2 linked regions of the Arabidopsis thaliana genome follow. Each later gene encodes a partner of the first gene's protein in a complex. Each region holds a gene or a part of one and is shown on either strand. Other genes may lie near its edges.

Region 1 (3,751 bases):
AGCTACACTTGCTTCTGCTCCCTCTGTGTTTTCCTCAGTTGGCTGAACCTGTTCATCTTCAGGCAACGGTTCCTCAACGTAATCATTCTCGAAAGCATCAGGTGGAACCTCATAAATCCTCACTTGAGGCTTCGATGGATCCTTCACAAGAACATACTTCCCTTCGCTTAGTTTCATACACAGATCAACTATGGATTTCACAATCCCCCACATGTTAGAAGTGTTGAGATTAATCTGTCCAGCGAAATCCTTCGGCTTATACCCCAAAACAGATAATATAACATGGTTGAAATGATCACGAGGATGAACCCTAGAGACAAAACCAATCTTCATCATATCAGCATTAGCCAATAAAGCTTGTGCAGTCCATTTAGCCAACTTATTTCCATTGTTCTTCAATTCTGTAGCTAAAACCGCACCTCTCTGAGTTTCAAGCTTCTGTCTCCAATCAACACCAGAGTACTTAGGATCAAACTCGTTAAGAGCATTCAAAGTAAGAAACGACCTTTGGTTGTTGAGATCAGCAACACTCTGTAACTCACACCTCGCAACAAGATGCATATTATCATCAAGCTTCCACCTTCTATACCTATAAGCAACAGAAGCAATCTCTTCACCTTCATTAGCAAATGGATTGGCTTCATCAAAAGTTTCCTTCTTTCCATCTCTAACCAAAACCTGCTGCGAAAAGTTCTGATTGATGTAAGCAGCTTCCACACCTAGAGAATGAGCAGAATTGATATCATCTTTAGACTCAGGCAATGGCTCTTGAGATGTCTCATGCACAGACAACAAATCAAGCTGTGATCCATCTCTCTTGTCAAAGAACAGTTTGTTACCAACACGTTGAATAACAATATCCCAAGAGTAAACAGATCTAGGAGCACACATAAGAGCAGCTAATATAGCATCAGTAGCGAAAACAGTAGCTTTGTCTTCCTTAGCTAAACGCCTAATCACAGGATCATCACTAGTAGTGACTTTGAAGAAGTTCCTGTTCTTGAAACGCTCGAGTCTGCGTTCGTTTTTCGGCGTTATGCGATCGAAAAGGCGGTTGTAGTACTCAAGGCCACCACAGAGAAGAAGATCTTCTGGTTCTTGAACTGTGTACGAGAGCTTCGAGAATGTTGAGAAAGGGATCTGCTCAAGCATGTTCCACTCCGGCTGAATATCAACGGATGATTTGAAAGCGGCAGCTTCACGGCGTTGGTGATGGATGTTGTTACGGTTGTTATTGTAGAGACGATCACGACGAGCTCGTTCCTTCTCAGCATCACGCTTCTTAGCTTCAACTTCTTCATCTCGCCGTTGAGGAAGCTGATTCCGATTGTGGTGAGGATTGAAACGCCATTTAGGTCCGAATTTAGGACGCGGCGGAGGTTTACCGTCGACGAGACGGAAAGCTGCGTCTTCGTCGGGATTACCACCGGAGGAAGCGAGACCGAAGCCTTCGTCGATTGCGAAAGCGGAGAAATCGAAAACTGCAGACGGATCTGATTTGGATCCGGTGTTAGGACGAGCGGATGGATTAGAGAGATTGCGAGTCCAATCAGCTACACGGCCGAGCTTATCGGAACGGGAGAAGGAAGCGAAAGGAACGTTCGGGAGAAGATTAGCGGCGGCGACGCTGGTGGGAGAGGCGGAGGAGGAAACGTCGGAAGCGTCTGGAGGTCCCCAGCCATCGGAATTGAAAGGAACGGCGACGAATTCGAAAGCTTCGGTTACCATTTCTGAGAAGATAGTGTTGCAGCTGTGTGTGTGGAAAGCGGAAACCCTAATTCTTTAGTCTACGTTGAAGAGAGAAGGTACAAGAAAAAAACATTTTTGTTAATGTTTGGGCTCATGGGCTTTAGTATTCTTCAAAACCCATATATAACACTTGAAGTCTTAAATCATGTTTTTCATTTCTGACTTTGAGAAAAAAATAAAATAAAATAAAAATTTAGAATTCAAATTCATCAATTTGAAATAGTATAACACATTTTTTTTTGATAAACTCTATTTGCTGATCTGGTCAGCTTCGATAGAAACGCACCAAAGTGCTCCGAAGTAAACTTTTCCCGAAGGACCACAACACTATCTGTCCCGAATTTAAATGTTTTCTAACTAATACCACGGGATATTCAAACTCGGATCTGAGAGTTTCACCTATCACCAAAGTTTCTCCTATCACTAGATTACAAATGCTTGGGCAAGTATAACACATTGAAAAAAGGTGAAGTTATTTCGCTCGTTCATGTATTAATTCTAAGAAACTTTTTTTTTTGGTTTCGTTCTTGAAAATCATCATCCTAAGTTTCATATATTTCACAGCTTTGTTGATACCAAAAAACAAAATATATTTCACAGCTTTAAGTAGAGAAAAGTATATATTATGCTTACAAATGAAACATCACTCTCACAGCACATGATACAATTCAAGAAAAGGAATCTAGCTAACACCAAAAATAATTCAAGAAAAGGAACAAAAACATAGAACTTTTTTTTTTAATAAAGGAACAAGGAATCAATATTAGTGAACACTGTTCACAATCTTCTCCAGTCTTTCAGGAATTTGACTCCTAGCTCCATAATCGTGTTCTTCCACCTATATAAAATATAAATTAAATTTAGTTTACTAACATATGGATATTAATAGGAATCAGCTAGTAGAAACTTAACAATCAGATGGGAACATGCAGCTTCTTAGCGTTTTTGAGTGCAAGTTTTATTAAATATAAAAACAACAAGTATAAATATCATTCCCTAACTTTGAACTCATTCCCAATGTGTATACAAGCTGGATTAGACCTAGTTTTAACATAGTAGTAGTAGCAAAGTTTGATTCTTAAATTCCATTGCAAAAAATGTTTTACTTTCCGAATTATACCTTGCAGTGAAGGGTGTGGAAGACAGCATCATCAACAATGGAGTATCCAGCATGAGTGATCTCAGCTCCTAATTCCTCGGTGAGAACACGAATGATCTCACAAAACATAAACTTGTGTTCCAAGCTTGTCACAAGAAAGATGTGAAAAATGGAACCAGTTTCTTGAATCTCGATTTTTGGCAGCTTTCTTGGCACGGAGACATCGACGCTCGACGAAACCGATGAAGATCCGACGGAATTCAGTTTCTCCAAAGTTGTAGTCGCAACGAGGTTCCTTTTCCTTTCTCTCTTTTTCTCCACGTTCACTTGTAGCTTCTTGATGTAGTTTGCAGCTTCATCTAGCTGATCAGGTAGTGTTAAAGGCTCCTAACATGAAATAATAAAAGAGTTTAGAATATTAAGATCATCACCCATACATGGAATCTTAGATTATATAAGCATATAAGAGGGCCAAGAGGAAGAAACCGTAGAAGAATGATGAGGAAGAAGAGAGATGAGTTCTGAGTAGAGAGACTTCATTTGCATCCTTCTATTTTTCTCAACCGTTTTGCGATCTACAGATCTTGATTGACCTGTGTTTGAATGGCTCGGCTCCATTTCTTTTTTTATTCCTGAATTGTTTCACATAGACCATGATAACAAACTCAATGTTAACCAAGCTTATATAAAGAAGGAGGTTGGTTTAAGTGACATCTGATAATTAGTTTGTGCTAACTATTTACTGGAAAAGGGTTTGTAATATATATGTACCAAAGACTAAAAAAAAAAAAAGCAAAACAAAGTGGAAAAAAGTAAGTTCTTTAAATATATATCTTGACTCGTCGTTATGGTCAATTATATATTTTATGTGTTCATATATAGTTTTTAATGGTTCTGTTAATA
Region 2 (3,751 bases), on another chromosome or scaffold:
CCAGTAAGTGGTCTCAGCCTCTCAAATTCAAATAGTATATAGTGGATGGAATGGATTCAGTTTAGGATTTAAGTCGTTGTCTTTGTTGTTTTAGTCTTTCATAGCTTAACGATTAGTGTTTTGTTTGTGATTTCTTAGGAGACTCGTCTAGATTGATCACTGGTAGTGCTGATCAGACTGCAAAGCTGTGGGATGTGAAATCTGGCAAAGAATTGTTCACTTTCAAGTTTGGTGCCCCTGCAAGGTCTGTGGATTTCTCTGTTGGTGATCATCTTGCAGTGATTACCACTGATCACTTCGTGGGAACTTCCTCTGCTATTCATGTCAAACGCATTGCAGAAGATCCCGAAGACCGTAAGTTGTCAATTCTAAGTTAAAATCTACTTATGTTTTTTAGCCTATGTCTTTTTTGTATGGGTAAAAGGAATTGATTTAATGTAATTGATGTAGAGGTTGGTGATTCTGTGCTTGTCCTTCAAAGTCCTGATGGAAAGAAGAAGATCAATAGAGCTGTTTGGGGTCCCCTGAACCAAACCATTGTTAGTGGTGGTGAAGATGCTGCTATCAGAATCTGGGATGCAGAGGTATTTCAACTTTCTTAAGGCCTTTCTTTTGTCTATCAATATCTCTCTTTTTTTTTTTATTAGCTTAAACCTTATGTGGTGCTACTGCCATTGTTACTAGACTGGAAAATTGCTTAAGCAATCAGATGAGGAAGTGGGTCACAAGGAGGCCATTACATCCCTCTGCAAAGCAGCTGATGACTCTCACTTCCTTACAGGTTCACATGACAAAACTGCAAAGGCATGTGCTTCTTTCTTTTACTTGTTTCAAAAATATGCTCTATACATATTACATATAGAGATAAATCATCTAATAGAGTGTTCTTTTTGTTGATTCTTTCAGCTTTGGGACATGAGAACGCTGACTCTTATTAAGACTTACACCACTGTGGTGCCTGTAAATGCTGTCGCCATGTCTCCACTTCTCAACCATGTATGCACTAATGCTTCTTGAAATTCAAATTCGGTTCCCAAAAGCAACAAGTCTTGATGTTATCTTTGTGAATGTTTCTGCTCTCGCTCTTTTAGGTTGTGCTTGGAGGTGGTCAAGATGCATCAGCTGTGACTACCACTGATCATCGTGCTGGGAAGTTTGAAGCTAAGTTTTACGACACGGTTAGTGTTGCAGTAAAACAGTTTTATTTAAAAACTTGTAACCTGGAAAGAGATATGTAACTGTGTATTTGGTCTTATAATATATAGATTCTGCAAGAGGAAATTGGTGGCGTGAAAGGTCATTTTGGACCTATTAATGCTTTGGCATTCAGTCCTGATGGGAAGAGGTAAACTAACAAAATTTGATTTTGATTGATTGATACAATCCTCAGTTGATGAGAGTGTTTTTTAGGCTTTGTTGCTGAGTGTTTTTTGGAATGTATTTTCAGTTTCTCTAGTGGAGGTGAAGACGGCTACGTGAGACTGCATCATTTTGACTCCAATTACTTCAACATCAAGATTTAGATTCTTTGAACATGTCTTTCCATTTTTTCATCATTCCACATAATATTTTCTCTCTTTTTAACATTTTCAGAATTGATGTACTACCAAATTACCAATATACTACTTTGATGATAAAGCTTGTTGTTTGTCTTTTCAAATAGACATATGCACCCACAAAAAAAAAACGTATGAAACTGCTTTTGAGAAAGGAAAAAAACAAAATAGGCGCAACGGGCGAGGTTCGAACTCATCAAATAGGGAAGAAGCTAAAAACGCTGAAGCCACTGAGCTTTGCTAAACTGTGGCATCTCGAGTAATTTAAAAAATTACAAAAGGGTAAAAGTGTCAAAAGAGAGGACAAAGTTGATTTCCTAGGGTTTTTGCACTTCTTCCTCGTCGTCTCTCTCGTCTTCAAGTGAACAGGTGAAGAAGAAAGCCGTTTTCCGTAATCGTTTCTTCAATTATTTTTCTTGTCTTTTGATTGATTCGATTTCGTATCTGTTTCAAAGATTCGCATCAAACCCTAAGAAACTGAAGATGAGGCCGATCCTGATGAAGGGACATGAACGTCCATTGACGTTTCTGAGGTACAACAGAGAAGGAGATCTGCTTTTCTCCTGCGCCAAGGACCACACACCCACCCTCTGGTTTGCCGATAACGGCGAGCGCCTTGGAACTTACCGTGGTCACAACGGTGCTGTTTGGTGCTGTGATGTCTCCCGTAAGTTTCTCAATTTCTCTTCAAATAGTATCGAGTCGATGATTAGATTCATTGTTTCCCCTTAGCTACAAGCTTGTTTAGGGTTTATAGTATCGAGTGAATTCTGTCGTCTTAGTCTTTCAAAGCTGAATGTTTAGTGATTTCTTAGGAGACTCGTCAAGATTGATCACTGGTAGTGCTGATCAGACTGCAAAGCTGTGGGATGTAAAATCTGGAAAAGAATTGTTCACTTTCAAGTTTAATGCCCCTACGAGGTCTGTGGATTTCGCTGTTGGAGATCGTCTTGCAGTGATTACCACTGATCACTTCGTGGACCGTACCGCTGCTATTCATGTGAAGCGTATTGCGGAAGATCCTGAGGAACGTAAGTTGTACATTCCTAGCTGAATTACTACTTACGTTTTAGCCAACTTCTTGTATGTGTTAAAAGGAAATTGTTTGTTTGATGCAATTGTGTAGAGGATGCTGAGTCTGTGCTTGTCCTTCATTGTCCTGATGGAAAGAAGAGGATCAATAGAGCTGTTTGGGGTCCCCTGAACCAAACTATTGTTAGTGGTGGTGAAGATAAAGTTATCAGAATCTGGGATGCCGAGGTATTTCAATTTTTCTTAAGGCCTTACTTGTGTATTAATTTCTCTCTTTTAAGGTTATGAACTAAACCTTATGTGGTGCTACTGCCATTGTTACTAGACGGGAAAATTGCTCAAGCAATCAGATGAGGAAGTGGGTCACAAGAAGGACATTACATCGCTCTGCAAAGCAGCTGATGACTCTCACTTCCTTACAGGTTCACTTGACAAAACTGCAAAGGCATGTGCTTCTTTCTTTTACTTGTACAGTATATCTTGTTTCAAATTTTTGCACTATACATATAGATATAAATCATCTAATAGAGTGTTCTCTTTTGTTGATTGTTTCAGCTTTGGGACATGAGAACGCTGACTCTTCTTAAGACTTACACCACTGTGGTGCCCGTAAATGCTGTCTCCCTGTCTCCACTTCTCAACCATGTATGCACTAATGCTTCATGAAATTCAATTTCGAATCCCAGAATCAGCAAGGCATGATGTTATCTTTGTGAATGTTTCTGCTCTCTCTTTTAGGTTGTACTTGGAGGTGGTCAAGATGCATCAGCTGTGACTACCACTGATCATCGTGCTGGAAAGTTTGAAGCTAAGTTTTACGACAAGGTTAGTGTTTATAATAAGAGTGTTTTACTTGGAAACATGTAACCTGGAAAATACACATATTTAAATAACCGTGTATCATTGTGTTTGGTATAATATATAGATTCTGCAAGAGGAAATTGGTGGTGTGAAAGGTCATTTTGGACCTATAAATGCTTTGGCATTCAATCCTGATGGGAAGAGGTAAATTAACAACATTTGGATTTTGATTGATTGACACAATCCTCACATGATGAGGTTTTGAGTGTGTGTTTTGGCTCTCTCACTGAGTTTGTGGAATGTATATTTCAGTTTCTCTAGTGGAGGTGAAGACGGTTACGTGAGGCTGCATCATTTTGACT

The links.
Region 2: AT4G20980 (region 1) and TRIP-1 share a complex: the UniProt entries of both Arabidopsis thaliana proteins name them as parts of the eukaryotic translation initiation factor 3 (eIF-3) complex.

Annotation. Positions count from the first base shown.
Region 1 is NC_003075.7:11,214,974-11,218,724, reverse strand, and holds the start of AT4G20980 (Eukaryotic translation initiation factor 3 subunit 7 (eIF-3)), read right to left. Parts: upstream 1,845-3,751; 5' UTR 1,729-1,844; coding exon 1-1,728. Other genes in the region: AT4G20970 (basic helix-loop-helix (bHLH) DNA-binding superfamily protein), read right to left, coding at 2,513-2,587, 2,870-3,235, 3,335-3,466. UniProt on the Arabidopsis thaliana protein: mRNA cap-binding component of the eukaryotic translation initiation factor 3 (eIF-3) complex, which is involved in protein synthesis of a specialized repertoire of mRNAs and, together with other initiation factors, stimulates binding of mRNA and methionyl-tRNAi to the 40S ribosome.
Region 2 is NC_003071.7:19,003,682-19,007,432, reverse strand, and holds the start of TRIP-1 (TGF-beta receptor interacting protein 1), read left to right. Parts: upstream 1-1,700; 5' UTR 1,701-1,925; exon of another isoform or gene 1,926-2,011; 5' UTR 2,012-2,039; coding exon 2,040-2,223; intron 2,224-2,371; coding exon 2,372-2,587; intron 2,588-2,682; coding exon 2,683-2,816; intron 2,817-2,913; coding exon 2,914-3,033; intron 3,034-3,143; coding exon 3,144-3,233; coding exon of another isoform or gene 3,234-3,254; exon of another isoform or gene 3,255-3,326; coding exon 3,327-3,413; intron 3,414-3,513; coding exon 3,514-3,593; intron 3,594-3,701; coding exon 3,702-3,751. Other genes in the region: AT2G46290 (Transducin/WD40 repeat-like superfamily protein), read left to right, coding at 1-3, 139-354, 451-584, 685-804, 907-996, 1,092-1,178, 1,266-1,345, 1,448-1,523. UniProt on the Arabidopsis thaliana protein: Component of the eukaryotic translation initiation factor 3 (eIF-3) complex, which is involved in protein synthesis of a specialized repertoire of mRNAs and, together with other initiation factors, stimulates binding of mRNA and methionyl-tRNAi to the 40S ribosome.